Linked DNA regions of Canis lupus familiaris. The protein of the gene in region 2 interacts with the protein of the main gene of each other region in a pairwise test. Links are inferred from orthologs where the notes say so. Each region holds a gene or a part of one and is shown on either strand. Other genes may lie near its edges. The genes, in order: SPRED1, CREB5, KIFC3, ADAMTSL4, EFEMP2, FOSL1 and FOSL2.

Region 1 (3,805 bases), on a different chromosome or scaffold from region 2:
AATTCAAAAATACTAATTCAAAGGGATACATGCACCTCTATGCTCACTGCAGCATTTTTTATAATAGCCAAATTATGGAAGCACCCCAAGTGTCCAATGATGGATGAATAGATAAAAAAAGAGGTGGTATACATACACACACACAAACACACACACACACTGGAATACTATTCAGCCATAAAAAATTTGCATAACATGGATGGAGCCAGAGAGCATAATGCTAAGCAAAGTCAGTTAGAGAATGATAGATACCACGTCTTCATTCATACACAGAATTTAAGAAACAAAACAAATGAGCAAAGGAAAAAAGAAAGAGACACACACACAAACCAAGAATCAGACTTTTAATTATAAAGAACAAACTGATTGTTACCAGAGGGGAGGTGCTTGGGGGATGGATGAAATAGGTGAAGAGGATTAAGAATACACTTATCATGAGGAGCACTAAGCATAGTATGGTTCAATCACTATGTCATACACCTGAAATTAATGCAACACTGTGTGTTAACTACATTGGAGTGAAGATAAAAAGCTTAATTAAAAAAGGTAAAAATAAGTTAAAAATTCTAGCAGCCACAGATAATGATTGTCTTTTTAAAGTACTGGATCTTGGACACTACCTAAATATCAGAGTCAACTGGCAAACTTTTAGAAAATATACTGGTACCATAGTATATTCTCAAACTGGTATTGTCAGAATCTGGGATGAGGCAAGGCATAGGACATCACATATTTTTTATTTCTTGCAGTGGTTTGAGAACCACACCACTACTGGAGAATCTCAGGAACTTCCCCCCCCCCCCCAAATTCATTATATTATCATTTTGCAATTTTCCATCACATCTGAAATAGATAGGAACGTGAAAGAAAGAAGAAAGAAAGAAAAGAAAAGAAAAGAAAAGAAAAGAAAAGAAAAGAAAAGAAAAGAAAAGAAAAGAAAAGAAAGGAAAGCCCCAGCTCCCCTCCCTAGATAGACAGACTTGACTAGTCTGGAGTGGGGACCAGTTTTTCTATTTTCCAAAGTGTCCCAGGTGACTGAAATGTATAGCAAACAATGAGAACAATCTAGAAAGAACTTATAGGTTCCTGTCATAAAGCTAAAATGACTGCTACTATTCCATGGAATTTTTCTAAACTGTAAATCACTTTGTTTACCAATCATTAATCCCTGAAAATAGATAAATAGATTATTTAAGCACAGGTTCATGCACCAGCAGTACAGATTTATACTAAGCCTTTCCATGTTCTTGCCTATTGCCAGTCTCATAGTTCATTCATTTCTTCTAACTTTCCTATTAAAATATCTTCAAAATATACAAATCACAATGCTAATATATTTTGATTATTACTTTATAAGAAGGTTATTTCTATTTATAGAGACAATTTTCCTTCTTAATTAGAAAAACAAATCAAGCCTTAATTATAACCTCGTTGTGGGAAAGAAATGGGCCTTAAAGTGCTTCTTTTTGCTTAATTAAGCAGAGGCCAGTCTTACACGTAAATACATTCTTCTTCCTTTTAAAACCTGCAAGCTTTAGAGTTAATAATCTTAACAGACTGGCAAAATATACAAAGAGGTAGATGGGGCTGTGGTCTCTGCCAATCCTCAATAATGAAACCAGAAAAAAAAAAAAAATGAAACCAGGTAAAAAGCTAAGAGTTTCAAGAAAGGGTTCGCCATAGGAAAAAATAGAGTCTACATATGAAAAAGAGAAAATTTCTAATAACCCAATTCAATTGAACCTTGAACAATGCAGGTGTTAGGAACACCCACCCCTGCCCCGCCCAAATGCAGCTGAAAATCCACACATAACTTTTGGTTTCCCAAACACTAAATAATCTACTGTCCACTGAAGCATTATCAGTAATATATACAATTAACACATATTTTGGGTATCATATGTATTATATACTGTATTCTTAAGAATAAAATAGAGAAAAGAAAACATTACCAAGCAAATCATAAGGAAAATACATTTATAGTACTGCACTGTAAAAAAAAAAAAAAATCCACATATAGTAGACTGGCACAGTTTAAAACAATGTTGTTTAAGGGTCACCTGTTTTTGATTATTTAAATTTTTCTTTTTTATTACCAAAACAAGGATATAATTGATATAACAACACACAAAGATTTTCAAAGTTCTGACCGCTCCCTCTTCTTCATGCTGTTACTTAGAACCATTGGAATCATCTGAAGTCTGTACTGATGAGTTTGAGGTAATACATGTAAGTGGTATATATTATGATGTGACAAATATAAAATGGATTTTAAAAAAGCATGATTTTATCTTTGCCTAGAGTGAGTTTTCAAAGCTAATTACATAAATCACAAAAGCTGTCTTGCTTAAAGTCACTCTACTCTACCATATAGGTTAAACAAATTAAGAAAGCAGTTAAGAAAACCTACCTTGAGAAATATCTTCTATAGCTCTTCGAATGCCTCTATCAAAAGCCCTAGCATCAGCAGGACTTTGAAAGGTAAGGCCAAATTTCTTGTCATCAATCTTCCAGTGGTGAAATGTTGGAGTGACCTTATTGTAAATGAGGTCTTTTTTAAGCATACATTCCAAAACCACCTGCCAAGAGTTAAATGCCAAAGATTACTATACTTATATCACATAATCTAATGTAGCTCTTAAATACAAATGGAGGTGAGAATAAGAGCTATTTTAGTAAATGCATTTCCCCCTTCTATTAATACAGAGGTCTTGCTAGTTAATCTACTTCATAAAGTCACTCAATACAGAAATCAAAATGGGATTAAAGAGGATTCTGGAAGATGACAAAGTATGAAGGAAACTTTCTCCCCACTTAGACAATAATTACATTGGCAGAATCTGTCTGATGTAACTATGTTGGAAATCTGAAGTCTGTTGAAGGTTTGAACTCCCAAGGGAAGACGTGGACAGCAAACTGGGGTTAACTTTGGTCAATCTCTGCATTAGTACAATAGCAACTACCCATTTCCCATGGCAGGAAGATATGCACAACATATTCCTGGAGCACCCTGCACATAAATCACAGGAGCCAGGGTGGGTAAAAAGAACCCTGTCCTCCACATATCAGGGATCTGTGCTCTGATTACTGATGACTAACTCTGATCAGATAGGTGCAAAGAAGGGGATAGCCATAGTTGTTATATCTTCCCTTACTGTTTCAAGTCCCTCCTCAACAGAATCAAGAGATGTCTAGGTTATTTAAAGGATCAGCATCCTTTTTTTACCTATCATTTATTTTTTCCCATTTGGGGTGCTAGACATTAAAGACCAGGACATTCAAACAAAATTACATTCATGGGGAAAATTAGAAACTGACTATTCATACCCAGGGAAATACTCAGAAAAGACATGAGAAGATCTAAATTTATACGTTAGGCAGATCCTCAGCATAGAGACAACCTACAACGATTAAAAAAATAAATAAAATCTTACAGAAGGGACAACCTGACAATCTGATTTCCAGAGTTAGCACACTATTTGATTTAACGTTCAGTGTTCAACAAAAAAAAACTTAAGGCACACAAAGAAACAGTAAATTCATTTTTTCCTTTTCCCATTGTAAGAAAAAAAGAAAATCAACAGAAACTGTCCCTAAAAAAGGCCTTACGGCAGATTAGGCAAAGGCTAAAAAAAAATCCCACAAAACTGTCCTAAGGAGAAAGTCAAGAAAATGATGTACAAACTAAAGTATCAATAAAGAGACAAAATCTAAAAAGAAATTCTGGAGCTTTAAAGCATAATAAATGAAAAAAAAAATTACAAGATTTAAAGCAGATTTGAACAGGCAGAAAAAGATCTATGTA
Region 2 (4,431 bases):
TGTTCTTGTCTTTCCTTTGTACATCTTCTCCTGTGATTACACCTCAGCTAACACTAAATATTTTTATAGGACCTGCATCTCCCTGATACCCATATCTCCACTCCTTTATGCCACCTTCTCCTTTCTCTACCACTCTCCTCTCTTTCCAGCTTTCTCTCTCCTCTCTCCACCCCGTCCAGTCCATGGTCAAATCCTCTAAATTCCATTTATCTTAAATCTATCCACTTTTTCTTTTTTAAAAAAAGATTTTATTTATTTATTCATGAGAGACAGAGAGAGAGAGAGGCATAGACACAAGACAGAGGGAGAAGCAGGCCCCATGCAGGGAGCCCAACGTGGGACTCGATCTCGGGTCTCCAGGATCACACCTGGGCTGAAGGCAGCGCTAGGCCGCTGAGCCACCGGGCTGCCCTATTCACTTTTTCTTTAAGGTTTTATTCATTTATTCATGAAAGATACAGAGAGAGGCAGAGACACAGGCAGAGGGAGGAGCAGGCTCCCTGTGGAGAGCCCAATCTGGGGATCATGACCTGAGCCGAAGGCCATGTTTAACTACTGAGCCACTCAGGTGCCCCAAATCTATCCACTTTTCTCCACTCCCCCGTCACCATCTCAGACAAAACCATCATTGGCTTAACTGGCCTTTTGGAATAGCTCACAGTATGAATAGCTGACCTTTATGAGGCACCTACTGTGCCAAACAGCTCTCATTTCATCCTCAGGGTAACTCCACTAGGTAGGGGTTATCATTAGACTCCATTTTAAATGCAAGGCTCACGCAGGCTAAGTCGCCTGTCCCCGCTGAGCTGACAGCTCAGTCTGTCAGACGCAGTGGCCTTCAGTCCCGCCCATCTCACTGTCCTGCCCCAGCCCTTCCTTGCGGCCATCATGGCTGCCATGCTTCTAATATTCCATGGTGAGAGCGGCACTTCCCTGCATACAACCCTTCATTGTCCTCTAGAGTAAAGTATGAGCCTTTTAATAAGGTTCTACCTGAGCATGTTCTTCCTTAACTCTCCCGTCTCATTCATTACCAATTCCTACAAGTGCTTTGGTAGGACACCATCGCTGTCTCCACCTCCATGGTAGACACTCCACCAGAAAGAATGAGTTAAGAAATCCTCTCATGGGGGCACCTGGGTGGCTCAATGGCTGAGCATCTGCCTTTGGCTCAGGTTGTGATCTCAGGGTCCTGGGATCGAGTCCCACATCAGGCTCCCCGCATGGAGCCTGCTTCTCCCTCTGCCTATGTCTCTGCCTCTCTCTCTGTGTCTCTCATGAATAAAATCAGGAAGGAAGGAAGGAAGGAAGGAAGAGGAAGAAGGAAGGAAGGAAGGAAGGAAGGAAGGACGGAAGCTAAGAATAGAATACGCAGAACGAAGACTAAGAAAATCAAGCAAACCCCAAACGAATACCATCCTCCTCCATCGACATCCACTCAAGCACTCCACCCTAACGCCCTCCATCCTCCCTACCGCCCAACCCTCCCCCTCCTCCTTCCTTCCGTTCCTTCCTTCCTTCCTTCTCTTCCTTCCTCCCTCCCTCCTCCCTCCCTCCCTCCCTCCCTCCCTCCCTCCCGTCCTCCCTCCCAAGAAAGAAAGAAAAATTAATTCTCTCATGGGTCCCCTAACCCCCTACCCTTACCCCTGTGAAAACCCTTAGAAAGCAGAACATCGAATCATCAGAATTAAAACTGCAGGTTCTGACTGCTGGTCTTCAATTCCAGTTCTGCCACTTACCAGCAAGGTGACTTTGTGCAATATTCTTAACCTCTTTGTAAATTAGGGGTAATAACAGCACAAGCGTGTACCTTACCAAGTTGTTGTAAAGTTTACATGTGGAGCAATCAGATAGGGTAAGCATACATGTTAACAAGTAAAACTTTTCCTTATTACCCTCTCTTACTCTTTTTGTTTGTTGGTTTCTGTCTATTCCAGCAAACCTTCATTATCTGTGTATAAATTTCATGATATTAGTGTGATTTCTTTACTTGGTAAAATGTTTAATCCTTCTCAAAATTCTTTGTCCTCAAAGCAATTCCATGAAATAGGCAGAACAAATTATTTTACAGAGAGGTCAAATGTCTTTATCTGTCACATGAATGTAGTGGGAACATTGTTTTTAGCAGGCAGTGGGGTTTTTTTGAGAGCAAGAGCAGGAGAAGACACAGTATCTGTGGGAGAAACTGTAGCTATAGAAAAATCATTATCTTCAAAGTGCTATTTGAGCCACTTAATCTGCTTCTCTGAGGCTCATTTTCCTTATCTATGAAATGGGGATAATGACACATACTTTATAAAACTGCAATGAGGTTTAAGCAAAATAACATATATAAAGTATCTGATCAGTGCCAGGAACCTACTGAACACCCAGTAAATATTAGGTAATGACACAAGACCCCACAAAGCCAAGGTCACTGAATTGGCCAAAAGAGGTGCCAAACCAAACCCAAATTGGACTATACATGTCCCACCATGACAGCCCACCCTCCTACCTGGCCATGTTTTCTGTAGAACACATCCGTCAGCTCATTCATAAATGTGTATCCTGCCTGCCCTCTGCTTTGCCTGGAAAGAGAAGGTGGGGAATGGAGAGACGGGAACATAGAAGAGGGGATTTAACACAACCCGTGATGATAAGATTTCAGGACCTAAAATCACCCAGGGGCCTTGCCTTTATGGGCAACCTAATGAGAAACACCAGTGCGGCATGACTCCGATCCAACAACGAGTCTCACTTCTTTAAGGGCCTTGGCAAGAGGGAAACAAAGTCCCCTTTCCCTAATTCTTATTTTCAGTACTTTCTCCCTCTTCCAAACCAGACAAAAGTATCATCAAGCTGCAAGCTCAAATTCTGACTGAGGAAGCAGGAAAATGGCATGCCTGGACAAGGGATGGGAGGGATGGGGTTTGCAGAGGTGGCTCAATGCCAGCTCTAGAGAGGGACTCCCTCTCTAGGAACGTGACCACAGCAAGGCACCCATGCTCATTTTTCCAGGATGCCAAAAAAAGACCAATTCCACTGGGGTGTTCACATGGAGCAGTCAGCAAGGGAGGGGAGGCTTGAATGAGCACAGCCCATCTTGGCAAGGAGGGTGACAGGGTGTGGGTGTCCTGTCATCAGATCTGCATGACATCGACCCAGCCCATTATTACCTCAGCAAGAATCGCATCACTCAGGGAGCATAAGGACCAGGCCCACCGGAGTCATCAAATCCCACAGCAAGGCAAGAGAGGCCTCTTGCCTCTCTCCTTCACGGTTCCTTTAGGCCTTTCTATGGGAATTGCTATTCCTGTGACCACTAGGTCTCAGGCACACCTAAGTATTTAACATATGTTAACTCACTGAATTCCCACAACATCCCTTCCAGGAATGCAACAGCATCCATATTTTACTGGTGACTGAGTTGAGCTCCGAGAGGTGAAGTCATTGTCCATGATCACACAGTTAGTCCTAGCAAAGTTGAGATTCAAACCCAGGTCACTCTGAGACCACAGCCCATGTGCTTTTCCCACCAGGCTACCCAGCCTCCAAAATAAACTCAGGATCCCTCTCCTAATGCTACCCTTTCCTGTCTGCCTCTGTTGGGGATTATACAATCTCAATAGGAGTAAAAGATTTTTTTTATAATGTTCCTATAAATTTAAATCCAGCTTTACATAATCTTTCATTGCTTTTTTTTTTTCTTTTCAAAACACCATCTATGCCACCCGCATTGCAATACTCACTTAATGAATACTACATAGTCAGGCATCTTGATAGATGCTAGAAGATATAAAACACATAAGAAATAGTCTCAGGCCTTCCCCCCAAGACCGAAAGCTAAGCCCGACCTGATACAAGGGTTAAGGTGCCATCTCTTGAACTAAGCATGGCTCATTTGTCTCGCTGTTAATGTGTCCTAATCCTACACCCCAGTTTAAATACCGGGGCTGCTACATGCCTAGAAACCAAGATTTCCAACTTTAGATTTCTTCTCAAGGTCCTGTCTCCCTGTTCTAATTGCCTGATTAGTAACACCACTTCCTCTTAAGGCCAGGGTCCCGCCATGATCTTCCACACCGCCTTCCCAGGCCTGGAGTCCTGTCCAATGGCACAAAATCTGATGGAACAGCTACCATCCACTCTGCAGTCTTAGTCTGCCTGTTTTTTGGGAACCCCTGCCCCTGCCTGTTGGGTTTCCACTGCAAATCTCTCATGAAGACAGTGATCACTTACTGCCATGGGTACCAAGATACCTGGGCTGGCCAGAGATTCTGTTCTGAGACAGAGGGCAAATCCAATTCTAAGCCCATGTACCACCAATCCCATCTTTGTAGGTGACTAGGTTGTACCTAGCTGAGTCCCAGGACAAGAAGAAATGGTCCCTTTGTTTCTCTGTCTGAAAGCCAGTCTCCTGCAAACAAGTTTTTCTGCACATATGTAAAAGAT
Region 3 (3,805 bases), on a different chromosome or scaffold from region 2:
TGCCGCTTGAGCCCATTGTAGTCATTGGTGAGGGTCCGCAGCGCCGGCTGGAGGGTTAGCAGGTTGGTCCGGACACCTTTGGGGACATAAGAGGTGTAAGGTGGATAGGGTGGGGGGCCGCAGTGAGGGGGTGGGGGGGTGCGGGCAAGGGCCCAGTTGGCTGGCTCACCTGCCAGGTTCTCGTGCACGGCCTTCATCTCCACCTGGGCTCTGGCAAAGGCCTCCTCAATGGCCCGGTTCTTGTCCTCCTCCAGGGACTGCATCTCCTCCAGCATCTGCCCATGTGCCCGCTCCAGCTCTGACTCGTACATGGCGATCTGACGGCCAAGGCCAGAAGCTCAACGTGGGGCTCAGGAGGGAGTGGGGTGGGTGCCAGAAAGAAGCCCTATGCCTTACCCCACACATGTACAGGAGCAAACAGCATCCACCTCCACATGCACACATACAGTCTCACACACACACACACACACACACACACACACAGGAGAGGCCATCTCACTCCTGGAAAGTTCTGTGAGCTCCATGCAGCTACTTTGTTGCATTAGCCCCAGCACCAGCCTGGGTCCTGACACATAACACATACACAAGCCACAGGCCCCAGCAGAGCATATTATGTCATAATAGTGACCAAGGCCCCTTTCCAAGAGCCTGTGTGCCCGGCCTGCAGGCAAGGACTCTTGGCAACTATTCTGAGTTCCACAGGGAGGTAGCTTCTATGAGCACATCATTTTATGGACGAGGAAACAGAGGCGTAGATAAAACTTGGCGCTGGTCACACAGCCAACAGGGAGAGCAGGGTGGGGGGGCTGGAACCCAGCTCCATGGGCCCCCCAGTACTGAACCGCCGCGCTGTGCTGCAGGCCCACCTCTGGCTTTCCCACCGCGTGTGCATGCTCTCCCACAGCCCCGTGCGTGTGCCCTGGCAGCCTGCGCACCTGCGCCCGGAGCTGCGCCGTCAGCTGGTGAGAGCTCTGCAGCTGCTGCTCCATCTCCTTCAGCACCTGCCTCTGCATGGCCACCTGCTCCTGCAGGTGCTGGTTCCGGGCCTGGGACTCGCTGAGGGCCTGCTTGGTCTTGGATGACTCCACCTCCACGGTCTTGATGACGTACTGTGAGGGGGAGGAGGGATGGGCGCCTGAAGGTGCAGGTGCCTCGACCTCACCCCCGGGGGGGCCCTGAGACGCAGCTGGCCTTGGGAGAGGACCCTCAGGGACATCCCACCAAAAGCCCCCAGAAAAAACTAGAGGAACTTCAAGGTCCTGGCTTTACAGGATGCTGCAGGGCCTCCGGGCATCCTCTCATCTCAGTAAGCCCAAGAGCCTGGCTGTGACCCCAGCCTGGGCACAGAACAGACAGGAAGGGCAAAGACGACAGCAGAATCTTGCCATGTACCACAGGCATGCCTGGCACGTGTGGGCGCCTTGAGCCTCGGCTGCCAGATGCCTACTACATGTCTGGCCCTGGACAGCAAGAGGGGGAAGGGGTAAGACTGGGGTGCAGCCAAGAAAGCAAGGACATTGCACGTGGCCACCAGCGCCAGAGGCTCACCTTGATGGGTGGCGACTGGGCCCGCAGGCTGGCGATGGTCTCGTGGCTGTCTCGCAGGCGCCGGCTCAGCCGCTCCTCTTCCTGTGCCTTCTCGGCCAGGCAGTCCTTGAGCCGCAGCTCGACCTCGGCCAGCCGGTCGGTCTTCTGCTGCACCTCCAGGTTCAGCTCCGACAGCATGCCCTTGTTCTCCGCCACCTCCAGCTGTAGCTGTGACAGCTTGTCCCGGAGCTGGGCACTCTCCTGCAGACAGGTGGTTGGGAGCGGGGTGGGGACAAGTGTGTAACAGATGGGGGGGGGTACCAGCATGCAGGGCTCCCTGCAAGGAGAGGAGCCGGGGTCACCGTTAGGGACCGAGCCCTCTGGGAGCAGGTGGCTCTGTGCTCACCTGGCTGTGTTCGCAGCCCGCGCAGGGGGCCACCGGCTTTGCCCGTAGCTCTTGTAACTCGGCCTCGAAGCGCCGCATCTCCTGCCTCAGCCGCTCATTCTCCACTACCAGGAGATCCCGGTGCTTCTCCAGGTCCGTGCCTCCCTGCACGGAGCCAGAGCACAGGGCATGCATGTGGCAAGGCCAGGCCCCGGGAGCAGAGAGCAGGGAGGCCGAGGGGGCACCAGCGCAGAGGAGAGAGAAGCAGGAGAGGGAGGGGAGACAGCTCAAGGGGGACATAAGGAGAAGACAGAGGAAGGAAGGGGAGCCGGGGGGATGGCCTTACCCGCCCCTCTCATGCTATTTTCCCGAGTGTGAAAGTAACAAGAAAGTCATATTTATACACAGAGTTCACACTCCTGTTTTACATCGGCAGATGAGAATTAACCTCCCTCCCTTTGGGGGTCACACGACCTCTGAAGGCCTAGTGAGTGGTGACAAGTATTTGGGGAGCATCTCTCAGGCCCAATGGCATCTGCTGGGCTGGACTCGAGGGCTCTGGAGGGATGGGGTCCCACACCTCAAATGGAAGGGTCAGTCTGCACAAGGCCAGGCCAGCCCCCCTGCAGCCCCCACCTTAGGATGGCAGTGTGGAGCCTCACCAGCTCTGATCGAAGGCGGCTCACTTCCTGGGCCTGGCTAATGAGCTTCTCCTTCAGGTTTTCCACCTGCCAGCACAAAGCCACAGTCACGGTGAGCCTTGTTCCTCACTTCTGGCCCACGCTCAGGCCTCATTTCTCAGCCCCGCATGCTCCCTCAGTTCAAGCATCAGGGCACACCCAGGACTCTGGGTGAGAGACACCTGCCCTGTCCCAACGGCCTTCAGCACCCTCTCCTACCACAAGACCCAGGTAGTCCCGCTCTCAGCAAAGTCTGGGGAGCAAGCACAGCAGAGGTGACCTCTATACCACTCTGTGCCCACACCAGAGGCAGCTCCCTGGCAGACTCAGGAGGCTGACCTTCAGGACCCCCACCTTGCACAGTCCCTTGCCACAGCCTGTGTCTACATACTTGTAATTTTATATTCCCTTTTCATAAAAGGGCTCCCAAATTGTATAAACTCCAGACACAATGAAACCTGATTGGTCCTTGCCCAGAACCTAGATTTTTCCATTCCAGTGGTGCCTGGCAAGTCTGCCTATAGAGACAGGTCTACCAGCAACCAGGGCATGTCTTGGACCTGTGTCCCCCCACCCCCCAGGTCCCTGTCTGCCTTGCTGGACAGCTGGGACCATCAGAGAAGGGTGTGTGCACCCCATCAGGAAGCAAGGGTGGCTTGGCTCAGCCAGAGCCAGAGGAAGCCACCAGGATGCCAGTTCTGAGAGTGTACATCCCAGGGTAACAACCCTCCCCTAGAGTTGTCCTCCAGCTGGCCACCCTCCCTGCAGACTCCAGACCCCAATTCTGCACCAGCCCCCCTCCAGGAACCTCTTGGGAAATAACCCAAAATGCAACCGAAGACTTTGGCACCAATGTCATCAGTGCATATTTAGGGGTTTTGTCACAGAACATTCTGTGATGACCGTACCTGACTGTACATCACCTTGAGAAAGCCCAGTGAGAGTCAGACTCTCTCTGTGGGGACCTAGGAGGTGGGTTTGACCCAAGCAGGCCACGAAGCATTGGGTCTTATTAGGAAGCAACAGCAACAAAGTCTGCTGCCTGCAGAGGCCAGACCAGTAGGAAGGCAGGTGAGGGGCAGCACAGGACTGGATGCCCAGCGTCCACCCTGAGAAGACAAGCTCAGCGCCCTCCCTGCAGGCCGTGGCTGGGAGCACACAGGCCCATGTCTCCAGACTTCTGTCCTTTCAAGAAAGGACAGCTGTGGGGGTG
Region 4 (3,805 bases), on a different chromosome or scaffold from region 2:
TCACCCAGACCCTTCCCTCTGGAGGTGCACTGTCCACTCTCGCTGCTGCTTTCTCCTTCCTCTCCCCCATACTTCAGTTAACTCTACTGTACTGGGGATTAGGGGGGAAAAGGCTCTTTACCGGGGCGCTGGTTGCACGGTTGGCTGTTACAAGGTCGTTTCCTGGAGGGCCGAAGGTGAGGAGGGCATCGGATGCTGACAGTCTGGTTGGCGGTCAGGCACTGGACCTCCCTGGTCTGAATACCGCCCTGGCAGGAGCGAGAACACTGCGGAGACCCCGCTATCAAATCAGACCTCTGCTGTGACCCAGGTTCCTCCTGAACCTCAGGCCACCTCCTTCTCTGAAAGTAGTTGGGGGGGGGGGTTCACCAGGAACATTATGCAATCCCACATTGACAGGGCCCACTTGTCCTCCATGTATACAGGAAGTGGGGCAATAATAAACCAGCTGCAGCTGGCCTCATGCTGGGACACAATGGGGATACCAGGAGTGGAGCCTCCAAACTTTCCTTAGAAGCTCAACAAGACAGGGGAGTCAGGCACTCACCGGACTCCAAGGAGTAGAAAACCATCGGTCCTGGCAGTCCTGCCCCTGACAGGGCTGCAGGGCAGGGGGCCTGGGCAGGTGGGAACAGTTGCTGGGGGAAGTCACGTTGAACTCAGTTCCCAGTTTGGACACACAAATGATGTCTCTACGCTGCGTGCCAGAACCGCATTCTGAGGAGCACTGATACAGAGGAAGGGCAGGGTGTGCAAGGGGAAGGGAGAACAGGGATCACTCCTGCCAGCCCCCTTCCAAGCTCTTGGCTCACCTCGGCCCAGGGCCCCGTGTACCAGCACCACGTCATCTCACAGGGTCCCAAGCTACAGGCACGCATGTCTGGGGGACGGCTTCCCGGTGCACAGCTCTGCTTGCTGGGCCCTGCCCCTGCTTCCTCCTGGCCCAGCCCCTGGGTCTCCCCACTCCCAAGGCAGACCACAGACCGTCGCTGGATTCCAGTCCCACAATTGGCTGAGCACTGTTGAGAAGGTGATGGGTAGGGGAGGAGGAAAAGGGGTTGAGGGGGGCCCGTCCTGGATCCCCTGAGTTGGGGAGTGCCCCGGGTACCACCCAGGTAAGAAGAACCTGTAATGGGAGTCCGGGACCCTAACGTGAGTTCTTCTCACTTAACTCGGAATCCCAGCATCAGCAACATCTAGCACATACCAGGGCTTGTTCAGTAAATGTGGACCAAAATGTGTTGGAAAGGTCCTGGGTGTGGGCACCAGGGATGCATGACTCGGGTAAGGGCTGTGGGGCCCACCTTGGAGCTCCAGTCGCTGTGGAACCAAGCTGTGGTACAGGGCCCCATGTCACAGGCCTCTCTGCTGGGGGGCCGCGGAGGGCCTGACGCACACTCCGTCTCGCTCACTTCATGGCCGTTGTTTCCCACGCAGCGAACTTGCCGGCTCCTCTGGCCCCGCCCGCACCGCACTGAGCACTGGGGAGGAGAGCTCGTGAGAGCCCAGCCTCCGGGCCTCTGGGCCTCCAGCCTCGGGCTCCAGGGCCTTGCAACCAGGACCTGCCTTCTTCCCTAACTCAGCACCTATAGGGCTGTATGGGCTGAGGGGCAGACTCGACAGGTGGCTCTGGGCCCCCAATCCCCGGTTCAGGGTCTCATCTGACTTATATGCTGGGGTTTCACACGCTCAGGTCTTGTCATTAAAAAGCTTCTGCCAGTTAAAAAGGATCAGGAAAACCACTGCTCTAGCTCACTGGCACCCGTCCACCTAGGGTCCTTCCCACCCTGGCAGCTCCCTTGCCGGGCCCCACTCACCTGGCTCCAGGGGGAGCGAACTTCCCAGTGGCCACAGAGGCGCAGTTGACAGGTCTGGGTGACATTGGGCCGAGGGAGATGTGCACAGCGCTCTAGAGGCACAGAGGAGCCACCCCCACCAAATTCTTGCCGGCAGCGCAGCTGGCGATGCTGGGTGCCGGGGCCACAGGAGCGGCTACAGGACGTCCACTCACCAGCCTCCCAGCTGTGGGGTAACAGGGCAAGAAAGAAGCAGAGACATGGATAAAGAAAACACAGGTGTGCAGGGCTGCCATGGGTGGGGCAAGGGATGACAGTCCTGGGGGAGGGAAACCCTGCAGGGCAGGGCGGGTGTCTTCATCACTTGGAGCCCAATTTCCCTTGTGGGGCTCGGGCTGCCAGGGTTCTCCTCCTGTCCAGGGAGCGTGAGCCTTTCCAATCAAACACTGGGTCTCTGCAGCCAGGAGGCCTAGTGTGTTGGGTGCAGAGTCCAGGGCAATACGCTAAGGCGGTGTGAATGCGTCTGCCGGGGACAACTGTTGTGCTCCTAGGACCCCAGCCCTCCCTGTGGGTCATACTCACTAGGGCGGGCATGGGGGACCATGGCAGGGCTCCAGGGGGGTCGGGGGCCTGGCACCCATGGCACAGCTGTGTTCGTCCAGTTCCTCCCCTGACTCACGAGAAATGCAGAGGAAAATGGGGCGCCAAACACCTGAAGAGATGACAGGGAAGCCAGGGGAGGCAGGATGGCCCAGAGCCCAGCGTCCGTGCAGCTCCAGACACTGGAATTCATCTTCACACAGAGTCAAGGTATGGATCCTCAATCCAGGGTGTGGGGTCAGGAGTGCCCTGTCAGGGTCTTAGTCTAAAGGTGCCAGGAATACAGGCCTAGTGCATCAAGTTTCACCTTTTCTTTTTTTTTTTTTTTTAATTTTTTTTTCATTTATTTATGATAGTCACACAGAGAGAGAGAGAGAGGCAGAGACATAGGCAGAGGGAGAAGCAGACTCCATGCACCGGGAGCCCGACGTGGGATTCGATCCCGGGTCTCCAGGATCGCGCCCTGGGCCAAAGGCAGGCGCCAAACCGCTGCGCCACCCAGGGATCCCAAGTCTCACCTTTTCCACAAGAGGCCGAGCACTCTGAGTGTCCCATTCGCTTCCAGTACCCAGTCTGAGACCCCAGGGGTGTCCTGGGCAGCGGAGGAGGGCGCACCTGGGGGATCCGCACCTGGCGCTGGAGGGTGCCTGGGGTCCGGGCCGGCCGGGGCACTGACATGGGTGGGGGCTCCACCCTCAGGATCTCTGTGTAGGGTGGTCAGTCACGCAGGCAGATCAGATACAGCCCACTGCCTCACAGCTCCCCTTCCAGTCCCTCCCCGCCCCCTAGGTGAGGGGAGCAGAGCCTCACCTGGCTGCAGCTGGGGGCTGGGGGGCTCTGGGGTGGTGCTCTCAGGGTTTGCAGGAGGCAAAGAGACGATGTACTGGTAAAAAATGCCTGGGTTTTCCTCCTGAAAGATCACCTGGAGAGAGAGTTGGGAGGAGTTGTCCGGGGTGGGGGCGGCCAGGGCACACCGCTAGCCTTCTCCCCCATCTCGTGACCCACAGCTGTGCCCCAGAGGGAAGGCCCTCCCTCCCTCCCTGCCAGCTGTCCAGCTTCCCCAGGCCCCAAGCTCACGTAGACATCCACAGGCTGGGTCGTGGGGCCTTGGGCTGACAGACTCTCCCCCTTGCCCTCCTCTCGAGAAGGACGGTTGTACAGGAAGACAGTCCCACTGGCCGTGTAGGACCCAGGGGGATCCACAGCCCAGTTTCCGTTGATGATGGACTGGCCCCCAGGGCCTCGAAGGGCTGCCGATCAGAGATCAGGACAGAGGTCAGCCACGCCGAGCCCCGGGCACCCCACACTCTCTTGGCTTCCACACCACTGCCACATGGGAAGGAGCCCCTGACTATTCTCTTGGCCCACTTGCTGGGCTCCAAGGGGTGTGGAGGGCTGAACCAAGAGAC
Region 5 (4,438 bases), on a different chromosome or scaffold from region 2:
GGAGCCCACGCACCACCCATCATGCCAGATGCCTCAGCACAGGAGGATACAGGTCAGGTACCGTGCATGTCAGTTACGTGGATGACTGGCACAGCCTCCCCCAAAAAGGAGCACATGGATTAGACCCTCCCAACAGCACAATAACAGCCCATCAGCCTGGGAGCCAACAGGAAAGGCACCCTTGATCTGTGAGATACCCTACCAGAGATGCATAGGAAATAAGGCCCTGCCCAGACTCCCAGGAACACCGATTCCAGGGCCTTCCTCCAAGGACCATGGCACCCACAGGTGGGAAGTGGGTAGAGGGCAGAAGCTAAGAGGCAGAGCTCTTGCCTGCCCTTGCAGTGTGTCTCTAGCAGCTGAGAGGGGGATCCAGATGCTGGCTAGAGCACTGAGACCAGAGCTGGGGCCACCTGTGGCAGGCACCTCACAGAGTGAGGATCTGGATGGCAATCCCAATAGCTCTGAAGAGGCTTTTGAGCAAGAGAGCAATTGAGGTCCGAGTTTTTAAGTTGCAGTGATAGATGCTTAGTAGGTGGACTGAAAGCCCTAGTGCCAAGGTGACCCTCACTCACCCACACAGCGCTCTTGCTCGTCAGGTTCATAGCCTGGTAGGCAGGGGTTGGGGTATTCAGCAGGGGGCACTGGTGGTGGTGGTCCCTCGCCATGCAGATCATTGATGACAGCGGCTGAGCGGGGCAGGCACAAGTAGCCCCCATAGTGGTTGATGCATTTCATCTCTCCCTTGCAGGCCTCGGGGATGGTCAGGCACTCGTTGACATCTGCAGAGAGGGGTCTGCTGGGCACAGCCGGTCTCCTGGGCTGGCTGTGAAGTGGGTGGCAGGTGGGAGCCCAGCCCGGCCTTCTATAAGCTGTGTGACCCAGGCAGGGCCTCCTCTCTCGACTCAACAAGCTAAGGTTCCCTGCTCAGAACCCCTCCTCAAGGCCTGCCTGGGCAAATGGTGGGGCAGGGGGCTATTCCCATAGTCAGCCCCATTCTCTTGTCCCCAAGAGGCTCTCTACCCCTCCCCATAGCCTGGGCCCTGGCTCAGCCCAAGAGTGACGGGCAGGCCTCCCTACCCACCCCGCAGACACTGTCCTCCCAGGACGTGATGGGGCAAAGCCAGACGGGAGAGTAGTTCGAGGTATCCAAGACCCAGCTCCTCTGGGCAGTGCCCTGCTGCTCTCCTGCCCACTGAGTGGTGGGGACAGGATGTCCCGGGCTTCTCTGAGAGGGAGGGGCCTGCATGGCTTCTCCACCCCTAGCTGAGCTGGCCCCCAGAGAATCAGAGCTGGCCTCCGCCAAGCCAAGCTGGGCAGAGGACAGGTCATCGGGCTCCCTGATGCTGCTCTTGGAGCTGAGCTTGCAATCCCTTTCCCAGTTCCTGGGGGTGGGTCAGTTCCCCAGTTCCCTGGGCACACTCACCCCGGCAGTGCTGGCTGTCGGGGTCCCACTCATAGCCATCTGTGCATTCCTACAAAGGGACCAGAGATGACCAGTAGTCATCCCCAGTCCCCTTCAGATGACCAGGCCAAGATCAGGGCCTGAGTCTGGCCACCCTCCCAGCCTGCTCCAAACAATGGCCCCCAGCTGCTTCCTACACCAATCAGGGGAGGGGACAATCTCCCCCAGCAGCAGCCACCCCAGGATCCTGATCTCTGTGTCCCAACCCAGCCCGGCCCAGGCCAGTGGCCCCACTGTCCCCACCGTGTAGCTGTCGGGCTCCTCCGAATCCTGGGGAGACGCTGCTCCCAAAAGCAACAGCAGCAGCGCCCAGAGCAGTAGAGACCCGGGGAGGCAGGAGGCGAAGGGGAGCATCCTGGGGGCTGGGAGGTGGCGGAGGGGTAGTGGAGGGAAGGGGGGTCAGGGCGCTTCCGCCACGCACCCCCACCCCCATTCCCTGTACCAGAACTCAGAACCCTGGCCCCAGCCGCCCCCCGCTCCGTACCGTGCCTGGGGCCCCGGAGCTTCCCAGGACCCAGGGCCCACTCCACCCTCAGGCCGGGGTTCGGGGCCCACCCGCCCGGGGCCGCCCCGCCCCCGCCCGGTCCCCCAGTGGCGCGGGCCGAGGAGCGCGGGCCTCTCGGCTCTGCGCTGACGCCGACTCGGCCGAGACTCCGGCTCGCGCCCTCCCCACACCGACCGCCACTCACTTGAGCCCGTGACGCCCCCGCGGCCCGCGTCTCCGGCGGCTCGGCTGGTTCGGGCAGTGCCTGCGGGCAGACGGACGGGCGGACGGCGCAGCTCCCTGGACGCGCGGCCCCAGGAAGCGCCCCCCGCTCGCCCGCCCGCCGCGGCGCGGCCCACCCCGGCGCCTCCGCCCGCCCCTCGGCGGATTCCTGAGCCCGCGCCAGGGGGAGGGACCCCGACCCCCCGCTTCTCCGCCCCCGGCCAGCCACAGGCCCCCACCCGGTCCCCCGCGGCGCTGCCCGGAGCCGCCTCCTGGCGCAGGGCCAGGGTCCCCCTAGATCCCCATCCCGGGTGTATGGCCTTGATGTCAGGCCCCCAAACTCACCCGAGAGCCTCTGGGCCCTCACTTTGTGCACCCCACTATGTCACCCTGCGCACCTGGACCCTACAAATCTGGGCTCCTGGAATTCCGCCCTGCGCACCCACAAATTAACGCCTGGGCCTTCACACTCTGCGCCTCCCAGAATGTCATCCTCGGTTCCTGGACCCCATCTAATCCTGGGGCTTCCAGACCCTCGCTCTATGCCCTGCAGACCTTTACTCTGTGCACCTTGTACAGTCATACTGGGAACACCAAAATTTCATTCGGGGGCCCCAGACCCTCGCCCGAGGACGAGACGCTCCCAGGCCCAGAACAGTTCAGGTGCGCCCCTTCTCTCCTCCATCCCTAGGGCTGTCAGCCGCAGGTGGTCCCTCCTCTCCTGGACGGCCTCCTCCCAACAATCGTTCTGCGAAACCACAACGGTTTGGGAGCGGGGTCTGCAGTTGCCTTTTGGCCCAGAATGAATGGAAGCCCCTGAGAAGGCAGGCAGGGCTGAACTGGCGCGTACCGGACGCCAGGGTCGGGTGCCAGTGCCCCAGCCGCTCTCCTTCCCAACGCGTCCCCACCCCCAACCTCGGGGTTCCAGCCTCCTTTCGGGAGCCGAGGGCGAGGGCGCGCCTTTCGGGGAGGAGATTGGGCGGAGTTGGCTCCCAGGAAGGGGCGGGGCCTCCTCCTGCCCACGTTTCAGGGCGGGACCAGACGGGAAAAGGCCGCGTGTCCAGGGATCTCCCGCCGGGGGGCAGACGAAGTGCGGGAATCGCTGAGCCCTCCCTTCCCCTTCCCACCCGGGGTTTAGCCTCACGATCGCCCCCAGTGCAGCCCCGCCCAGGGGGAGGGTGTGCTGACGGGGGCAAATGGGTCCGCAGGTCAGCCCTTGGGGTTCAAGGTGACTTGGAGAGTGCACCCCTCCACCCCCCAGATCCTTCACATCCACGGGGGCGAGGATGCTAAAAAGAATAGCTCTTCTAAACCAAAAAGACAGGCATTAACAAGTGTTGGTGAGGAAATGGAGAAATTGGAATCTTCCTGCACTGCAGGTGGGAATTTAAGATGGTCCTCTTTGGGAAACGGTGTGGCAGGACCTCAGAATGTTACATGACCCAGAAATTTCACCCCCATGTACATGCCCAAGGGAATTGAAAACATGTCCATACAAAAAGACCTATACACAACATTCATAGCAATGTTATTCATAAGATCCAAAATGTAGAAACAATCTAATGTTCATTAATTGATGAATGGATAAACAAAATGTGGTAATATGATGAAATGTCACTCAGTCATAAAAAGGAAGTACTGATGTGTGTGCTAAAACCAAGGAAGAATCTTGAAAGTATTACCCTAAGTGAAAGAAGCCAGACATACATCCTCATATTCCACTAATACGACACATCTAGAATTAGGCAAATCTAGGAGACAAATTCATGTTTGCCAAGGGAAGGGGGGACTGCTGACATGGTTTCTTTTGGGGGTATGAAAATATTCTGAAATCAGATGGTGGTGATGATTACTCAGTTAAGCAAGTACACTAAAACCATTGAATTATATAAAGTTTTTTTAAAAATTTATTTATTCAAGTAATCTCTACACCCAGTATAGGGCTCGAACTTATAACCTCAAGATCAAGAGTCCTGTGCTCTTCTGACTGAACCAGCCAGGCATCCAGTGAATTGTATATATATATTTTAAGATTTTATTTATTTGAGAGAGAGAGGCAGAGACACAGGCAGAGGGAGAAGCAGGTTCCATGCAGGGAGCCGGACGTGGGACTCGATCCTGGGAATCCAGGATCACGCCCTGGGCCAAAGGCAGGCGCTAAACTGCTGAACCACCCAGGGATCCCCTGAATTAAATACTTTAAAAGGCTGAATTTTATGGAATGTTAACTATGACTCAATAAAGTTGTTTTTAAGAATAATAAGAGT
Region 6 (2,903 bases), on a different chromosome or scaffold from region 2:
ACCCCCCTCATCTCTCAGGACTCAACCAAGATACCCCCACTCTTACAGGGAGCCTCCTCTCGTTGCCCAGCCAGAAGCAGCCTTTATTACTCTGAGCCTCTGGGACCCAGCTGCTCTTTCTCGAAGGACCCTCATTCTCCACCCCCCCTTAAAAAAAAAAGATTTTATTTGTTCATGAGACACTCACAGAGAGTCAGAGACATAGAGACATAGGCTCCCCGCGGGGCGCCTGATGCGGAACTCAATCCCAGGACCCTGGGATCACCAGCAAGCCCAAGGCAGACACTCAACCACTGAGCCACCCAAGTGTCCTCTTCCCCAGGGGTTTGTAAGCACTAAGAGGAGTTAATGAGTGTTGCTGCTGAGTACGTTTTTTATTTTTTAATTTTTATTTATTTATTTATTTAGTAAGTTGTTTTTTATTAGGAACCTATTACATGCCGGCTAAGAGCTTTACACAGATTATTTACCCAACTTTCCTTTTTTTTTTTTTTCCCAACTTTCCATATAAGGAACTGAAGCCCAGAGAGGATAGATAACTCCTTTATGGTCCCAGAGCAGAAATTAAAATCCACTCACTCTATTCAATATTGAGAGGCCTGCTGATGGGGACCAGCCCCCCACAAAGAACCCTACTTAGAGCTCATAGCCCCTGTCTAGGAGTCCCAGAAACAAATAGCCACCCTCAGGTCAGGGCTAAAGAAGTCCAGGAGCCTGCCTCTGGGACCTCACAGCATGGTCCTCTTCTGCAGTTGGTCACACTGCCAATCCTGCTGTTTCTGGGAAAGCCACTCCTGTCTAACTGTTCATCTTTGCAAGATCCTGACTTCTCATCTACCCTGCTGTCAGGGCAAGCTCCTTAATGAGTAAGTCTCACTCCAGTACAGTCTCATAAACCAAAATGAAAGAGGAGCAACTCCCTTAAAGACCCTCTATCTCTTATTTATGTTGGTAAAGATTTTTTTTTTTTTTTTTTTTAGTGTGAAGGCAGGAGCCCTGGTTGGGGAGTCAAGAGTTCCCAACTCACTCTGCTTCGAGCCTCTGTTAGCTCTGGATGAGATAGTGTGGCTTGATGGTTAGGATCTCACTTTAGAATTGAAAAGACCTGTCTCATTACTCACTACTTGTGTAATCTGGGCAAGTGACTACCTCTGTGCCTTCATTTCCCAGCTGTAAAGTGGAGAAAACCAGAGTGCATCCCTAGAGGCTATTTGTAAAGATTAAATGAGATAGGGAAACAGCCCCAGAGAGTAGCTACAGGGAACCCTCCCCTTTCTGTTCCCTCCCAGCACATAGACAGCATACATCTCAGCAGGGATACCCTCTACCATCCATCCACCTTTCCACATGTACACCTTACACGTTCTCATGTCCACCTCCATTCTTGTTCCTGCCATCCTCTCTCCCTGAAATGTCTTTTCTTTCATCTCTATCTATGAAGATCCTACCCATCCTTCTGGGCTAATATACCTCCAGCTTCAGAAAGCTTTCCCTAGCCTAGAATCACCTCTTGCCCTCTGGATCACCCCAAGGGCTCCTATTACTCTCAGCTTTGGCCAGGAGTCATCAGTGGCTCTTCTTCCCCAGCACTCCCTTTCTAAGTCTGTTTTTTGTTTGTTTGTTTGTTTGTTTTTTGTTTGTTTTTTAGATTTTATTTACTTATTCATGAGAAAGAGAGAGAGGCAGAGACACAGGCAGAGGGAGAAGCAGGTTCCATGCAGGGAGCCCAACATGGGACTCGATCATGGGTCTCCAGGATCATGCCCTGGGCTGAAGGCAGTGCTAAACTGCTGAGCCACCCAGGCTGCCTTGCCTGTGTTCTTTTGGCCAAGAACTTGTCCTCTGCACCTCAGCACCCCTATGGGCATCAGAACCAGTGCAATGCCTTTGCTACTTACCTGTTCACAGGGTCGGCGACGTACCCCTGGAGGTGGTCCTAGGACCCGGATGACTCCTGGCCGGGGCTGTGGGGGGCTGTACTGGGGGTAGGTCAGAGGCCTGGGGTAGCTGCTGGGTCCCAGGAAGTGGGGTTGCACCATCCACTGCAGGTCCTGGCTGCCACTCACAGCATTGATGCTTGGCACGAGGTGGAACTTCTGAGGCATAAGAAATGGAAAGCCAAGGATGAAGTCTGTGTAGATTGAGGGGCTTCAACAGGACAGAAGCCACAATTTCATCCACCGTCAATGCAGCTGCTCGTTCCGTATGACCAGAAAGAGCACAACTTGACAGAGAGACTAACTTGGTGACAAATCCCTGCTTGGGAGCTATGTGACTTTGGGCAAGTCTCATAACCTTGCTGTGCCTTCATTTCCCTGTCAGAACTAATACATATAACATATGAATTCCAGGCACTGTCCCAACCACTTTACAAATACTGACTCATAATTTGCACAACAGTGTCTTCATTTTCAGACAGAAAAACAGTTGTCCATAGGTCCATAGCCAGTAAGTAGGAAGTGGAGTTTGGCCCTGGCACCTAGGCTCTCAGCTACTCCTGTACTCTGCCTGAGTCCCATCTGCATAGAAAAATTCCAGCTCCTAACTCCAGGGGTGGCTGTGAGAATCCAGTGTGTGACAGTGCCTCGTAAGTGGCAGGTGTCCAATGCACAGAGGCTGTGGTGGCAAGAACCACTGCCCTGGGTTTAGGCTGTCCCAGTTAGCTCTTAGCTCAGCCACTTACTGGCCATGACTCTGGGCAAGTTATTTAACCTCAATGTGCCTGGGTTTCCTTGTTTTTAATACTGGTGTTAAGTGAGGATTATGGCATTTCATTGATGCTAAGAAATGCCTTTTAATAGCTCTAAATCATAGTTGGATTGGCAACTTTAAGAAAATTTAGTGACATAAAACAATGGTGTGGGTTTTCAAATCAATGAATTCTTCGATTCTGTGAAATACAA
Region 7 (3,805 bases), on a different chromosome or scaffold from region 2:
AAAATCTTAAAAAAAAAAATATGGGATTGCTAGGACCTGTCCTATCTTCCAAAAAGTTTCTGTCTTGATTAGATGAGATGCAGTGTGAAAGCCCTTTCTACTAGAAAGTGCTGGAAGGGAAAAGATATAAATCAGAGGTCCCTTTGCCGATGCTTTCTCAGAGCCCTGAAAGAGTCCAGATGAACTGGAGATCCAGAGTTCACCCACTTGGATACCTTTTGCTCTGTGTGTGGGTTGGCTGCCCAGCTGAGGTCATGAGGCCACCTGGCTGAGGTCCTCAGTACTTGCTCCTCCTAAACCTGTCTCAACCTGAGCCCAACAGTTACCAAGAGAGCCTGCTGGCCCTGCTGCAGTCCTGCATTTGAGCAGTCCTGGGTTCTCTACTCAAAGGTCTACCAGGGCTCCCCTTGAGGCCCAGAAAAGCCCCTCATCCTTCACTGACGATGGGCAGAAAAGATGAAGAGATGGTTGTAGTACATTTTAGCTTCCCTTCCCCCTTGGCAGCTTCCGGACAACTTCTGGCCTCCTGATTAGCCTAGAAGTCTCTCCCCTATCTGTAAGATATGAGGCAGCTAGCGGGAGCTGTCAGCATAGGAAGTGTTGAGGGGTGGTGACACCAACAGAGTTACAACTCTAGTGTGTCAGTGCCACCACGTACCTACCCACAAGCCACACACTCTCTGCTCCCCACCCTCTCAGTCACCACCACTGGCCTCAGAGGAGCCTCTGGGCAAGCTCTGAGGAGGCTAGCGAGGCACCATGCTGGCTCTGGGTAACAGGCTCCTCTCCCTGGCAGAGGTCAGGAAGGCGGAAGTCTGCTTCAGAGGAAGACCCTCAGGCTAGGAACCCAAAGAGCCAAGGTTCCAGGATGCTACTGCCCAGGTCTCCTGTGAGCTGCTGGATGATTGTCTGAATTCCTAAGTGATGTGGGATAAAATGCTCCTGGCTCTCTCCCTCCCTCTCAGAAAAGGAAGGAAATTCTCCAGACAGATTGTCTTAAGGCACGCCTAGGTGGTATGCTGGGAAAACCACAGGGCTGAAGGTCAGAGGAGGTGGATCCCAGCCCCGGCTCTGCCACTAACTCACGGTGTCACCCTAGACGGGACCCTTCTCCTTTCCAGACCTCTGTGTCCTCATCTGTAAAATGGGTACAGAGGGGAAATTGGAAAAGCTGGTCTCCTAAGTCCCATCCGGATGCAAGCTTCTAAATTTAGTGTGAGCTTGGCCCAGAAAGGAATGGAGAATGTTCAGCACATCGTACGTTTTGTCCTGCTAGCTCGAAAGTCCCTCACAAAACTGGCTCTCACCTAGGGGTCACTTCCATAACATGGTACCAGCTCATCAGTGACTGTAAAGCTTGACACCTTGGGCTCCTGAAGGAAGCATATTTTATAAAGGACAGTATGATTACCATTACTGCAATGTTGACAACTACAATTCTGGAAAGTAACAGTGGGGGAGAGGGGGATATCGGCCACTTGCCGCAGGAGCAGAAGCCCAGCAACTGCAAGCAGCAACTATTAGAGTGTCCACAACTCTCCACATCACCCTGTGGGGTCCTGCCATTAACAGAATAAACCAGTGTGTAGGGGATGCAAGGCCCAGCTTTGTCCTCAGAGGAATGGAGATCCTGTGAATGCTTCCAGTTCCTCAGAGTAGGAACCCTTGTCATCTTAAGCACCCTGGGGACTCTTGGCCCTGGATCCATGATTCTCCACAGCAGCCCATGTGCAAAAGGTTTTTGTATTGGGAAACTGTGGACCTGGGATCCCAGAATGCAAGTGGATGGTGGTAACTGATAAGAGTGATTTTCCAGGCTAATATTTCATTTCAAAGAGGGATCCTACTGCTAAAGTATTTTCCCTTCCCTGGATCCATGGGGGCATGGTACTGTAGAAAGAGCACCGCACAGAGAGTCCAGGGAACTGGGTCCAGACTTCCTCACTCTCTTGCCAAGTGGCCCCAGGCAGGTTTGTCTAGGCTCTGGTTGCATCATCTGTGAAGGACGACAGAGGCAGCTTTTTGAAGGCTCATCCCCTCTTATTATGCAGGACTCTGATTTCCGCTTTTGGGAATCAGGGGGCCTGTCGTTATCTTGGCTCACTACTGACACAGATGACATGCTTTTGAGTATGTAGACAGTATCTAGAGAGCAGCTTTCTGGTGTCCCTCCCTGCCAGGCTGACTCTTTCTCAGAGCGGAGCCCTTTGAGGGGAGGACAAAGCTGATGTCTGACCTGCCCCCCATCACACGCTGTTAGCTGAAGCAGCTGAGCAGACTCCAAAGACCCCTGAGTTACTGCACTTCTAGGACGGGCATTCCAAGTATTCAAAATGGGATCCTGCTCCAAGCCAGAGGCCTAGGAAACCAAGCAGGAATGCCAAGGACGGTGGGCCTGGAGGGTGACCCTTTGGGTCTGCGGAGTGTTTCACCTGCACAGATACCAGGTGACAATTAAGGACCAATCCACCAGAGCTCCCGGCCAGAATTTGGTTGGCCGCTTGGCCTGCAGCCCCTCTGCCACGGATCAGGGAAGGACACAGCTGTAGGCAGGCCCTAACAATCCTTCCCATCTGCTGACACCTTACCACATACAGTGTGTGTTCCCACATGTGATCTCATCCGCGTGGTAGTAAGTCCTGTCTGGCAGGTACCATTATCCCCATTTTGCAACTGAGGAAGCTGAGACTCTGGGATGCTAAGGGACATGAGCAAGATGACAGAGCCAGGCCTGAGTCTTGGGCCTCCAGCTCTGCTTCCAACAATGAGGGTCACGGGCCCCCAGTCCCGAGCTCCCTCTTGTCCTCAGTGCTCCCAGGACACTGCCTCAGCCCCTCACCGGTACACGGAAAGACACTCCATGTTATGAGGCTCTGAAAGCCACCGAGGTGGCTCCTTCACCCTGACCTGAGCTGTACCTGCTCATCTCTCCTCCTGCGGCCCACGGTGGTGCCAATGGTCTTGATCACGCCGGGTCTTGGGAGTGCCATGTGCCCGGGGACAGAGGCCAGGCCCGGCAGGGGGCTGTAGGGGTGTGAGCGGGGGTACGGGTTGGACATGGAGGTGATCACTGTGGGCTGCACCATCCACTGCAGGTCCTGGCTGGTCGTGATAGCGTTGATGGTGGGGATGAAGGCGCTGCCTGAGCCAGGCATATCTACCCGAAATTTCTGAAATGAGGAGAAACAGAGTATTGAGTCAGTAAGTACCCCGCAGAAGAGGACAAGCAGAGCCAGGAGGGAGAGCAGAGTCAGTGCCTGTGGGGCCAAGCTCAGAACACTGGGTGGGCTTCCCTGGACATGCAAGAATGAGCGGGATCTTAACTATTCCTGAGGCCCCATGTCAAATCTGTTCCCCTGAGGGCCTCGGGACCCCATTTCCAGGTGGCTCATGAGGATGTAATCATATTACAGCTTTGGGACAACGAAGATCACCAGGAAGCTTATTATACCTGCTTTTGTTACTTCCCAAATAGGTGTAGGATGGAGCTGTGACCCGATCCAGGGTGAGGCCAGGTCCACAAAAAGCTGCCTTTCAACTCATGAGACTGAAAAGTGGTAGCATTTGTGGCCAGATTTCCCTCTAAGTCCTTGTCCTCCTCCCGGCCCTTGACCACCATGTTGCTTAGAGTAGACACACGCTCTCTCTACCTACATATCTGTGTTCATAGATGTGTCTGTGGGAAACATCAGTGCTGCTAGCTCAGAGTTTTCTCCTGTCTCTCAACTTATGCCCAGATCATGTTGCAGAACTCTCCGGAACATACTGCAGGAAGCATTCTATTTAAAATATAAGATGATGACAG

What was found.
Region 1: the proteins of CREB5 (region 2) and SPRED1 interact in binary tests that used the Homo sapiens proteins (3 or more experiments, as listed by UniProt). The link is inferred for Canis lupus familiaris from reciprocal best matches to the Homo sapiens genes CREB5 and SPRED1.
Region 3: the proteins of CREB5 (region 2) and KIFC3 interact in binary tests that used the Homo sapiens proteins (3 or more experiments, as listed by UniProt). The two-hybrid records come from large-scale screens. The link is inferred for Canis lupus familiaris from reciprocal best matches to the Homo sapiens genes CREB5 and KIFC3.
Region 4: the proteins of CREB5 (region 2) and ADAMTSL4 interact in binary tests that used the Homo sapiens proteins (3 or more experiments, as listed by UniProt). The two-hybrid records come from large-scale screens. The link is inferred for Canis lupus familiaris from reciprocal best matches to the Homo sapiens genes CREB5 and ADAMTSL4.
Region 5: the proteins of CREB5 (region 2) and EFEMP2 interact in binary tests that used the Homo sapiens proteins (3 or more experiments, as listed by UniProt). The two-hybrid records come from large-scale screens. The link is inferred for Canis lupus familiaris from reciprocal best matches to the Homo sapiens genes CREB5 and EFEMP2.
Region 6: the proteins of CREB5 (region 2) and FOSL1 interact in binary tests that used the Homo sapiens proteins (3 or more experiments, as listed by UniProt). The two-hybrid records come from large-scale screens. The link is inferred for Canis lupus familiaris from reciprocal best matches to the Homo sapiens genes CREB5 and FOSL1.
Region 7: the proteins of CREB5 (region 2) and FOSL2 interact in binary tests that used the Homo sapiens proteins (3 or more experiments, as listed by UniProt). The two-hybrid records come from large-scale screens. The link is inferred for Canis lupus familiaris from reciprocal best matches to the Homo sapiens genes CREB5 and FOSL2.

Annotation. Positions count from the first base shown.
Region 1 is NC_049251.1:5,952,439-5,956,243, reverse strand, and holds part of SPRED1 (sprouty-related, EVH1 domain-containing protein 1), read right to left. Parts: intron 2,580-3,805; coding exon 2,411-2,579; intron 1-2,410. UniProt on the Homo sapiens protein: Tyrosine kinase substrate that inhibits growth-factor-mediated activation of MAP kinase. Negatively regulates hematopoiesis of bone marrow.
Region 2 is NC_049235.1:41,627,121-41,631,551, reverse strand, and holds the start of CREB5 (cyclic AMP-responsive element-binding protein 5), read right to left. Parts: upstream 3,104-4,431; 5' UTR 2,606-3,103; coding exon 2,495-2,605; intron 1-2,494. UniProt on the Homo sapiens protein: Binds to the cAMP response element and activates transcription.
Region 3 is NC_049223.1:57,991,395-57,995,199, reverse strand, and holds part of KIFC3 (kinesin-like protein KIFC3), read right to left. Parts: intron 3,786-3,805; exon of another isoform or gene 3,513-3,785; coding exon of another isoform or gene 3,501-3,512; intron 2,641-3,500; coding exon 2,575-2,640; intron 2,078-2,574; coding exon 1,934-2,077; intron 1,789-1,933; coding exon 1,549-1,788; intron 1,110-1,548; coding exon 936-1,109; intron 318-935; coding exon 170-317; intron 77-169; coding exon 1-76. UniProt on the Homo sapiens protein: Minus-end microtubule-dependent motor protein. Involved in apically targeted transport. Required for zonula adherens maintenance.
Region 4 is NC_049238.1:60,400,391-60,404,195, reverse strand, and holds part of ADAMTSL4 (ADAMTS-like protein 4), read right to left. Parts: intron 3,647-3,805; coding exon 3,474-3,646; intron 3,319-3,473; coding exon 3,207-3,318; intron 3,101-3,206; coding exon 2,915-3,100; intron 2,509-2,914; coding exon 2,379-2,508; intron 2,023-2,378; coding exon 1,818-2,022; intron 1,482-1,817; coding exon 1,305-1,481; intron 1,020-1,304; coding exon 813-1,019; intron 728-812; coding exon 548-727; intron 267-547; coding exon 122-266; intron 1-121. UniProt on the Homo sapiens protein: Positive regulation of apoptosis. May facilitate FBN1 microfibril biogenesis.
Region 5 is NC_049239.1:51,889,473-51,893,910, reverse strand, and holds the start of EFEMP2 (EGF-containing fibulin-like extracellular matrix protein 2), read right to left. Parts: upstream 3,091-4,438; 5' UTR 3,022-3,090; intron 2,215-3,021; 5' UTR 2,155-2,214; intron 1,828-2,154; 5' UTR 1,820-1,827; coding exon 1,709-1,819; intron 1,476-1,708; coding exon 1,427-1,475; intron 783-1,426; coding exon 576-782; intron 1-575. UniProt on the Homo sapiens protein: Plays a crucial role in elastic fiber formation in tissue, and in the formation of ultrastructural connections between elastic laminae and smooth muscle cells in the aorta, therefore participates in terminal differentiation and maturation of smooth muscle cell (SMC) and in the mechanical properties and wall integrity maintenance of the aorta.
Region 6 is NC_049239.1:51,871,446-51,874,348, reverse strand, and holds part of FOSL1 (fos-related antigen 1), read right to left. Parts: intron 2,097-2,903; coding exon 1,899-2,096; intron 1-1,898.
Region 7 is NC_049238.1:22,382,653-22,386,457, reverse strand, and holds part of FOSL2 (fos-related antigen 2), read right to left. Parts: exon of another isoform or gene 3,452-3,805; intron 3,171-3,451; coding exon 2,919-3,170; intron 1-2,918.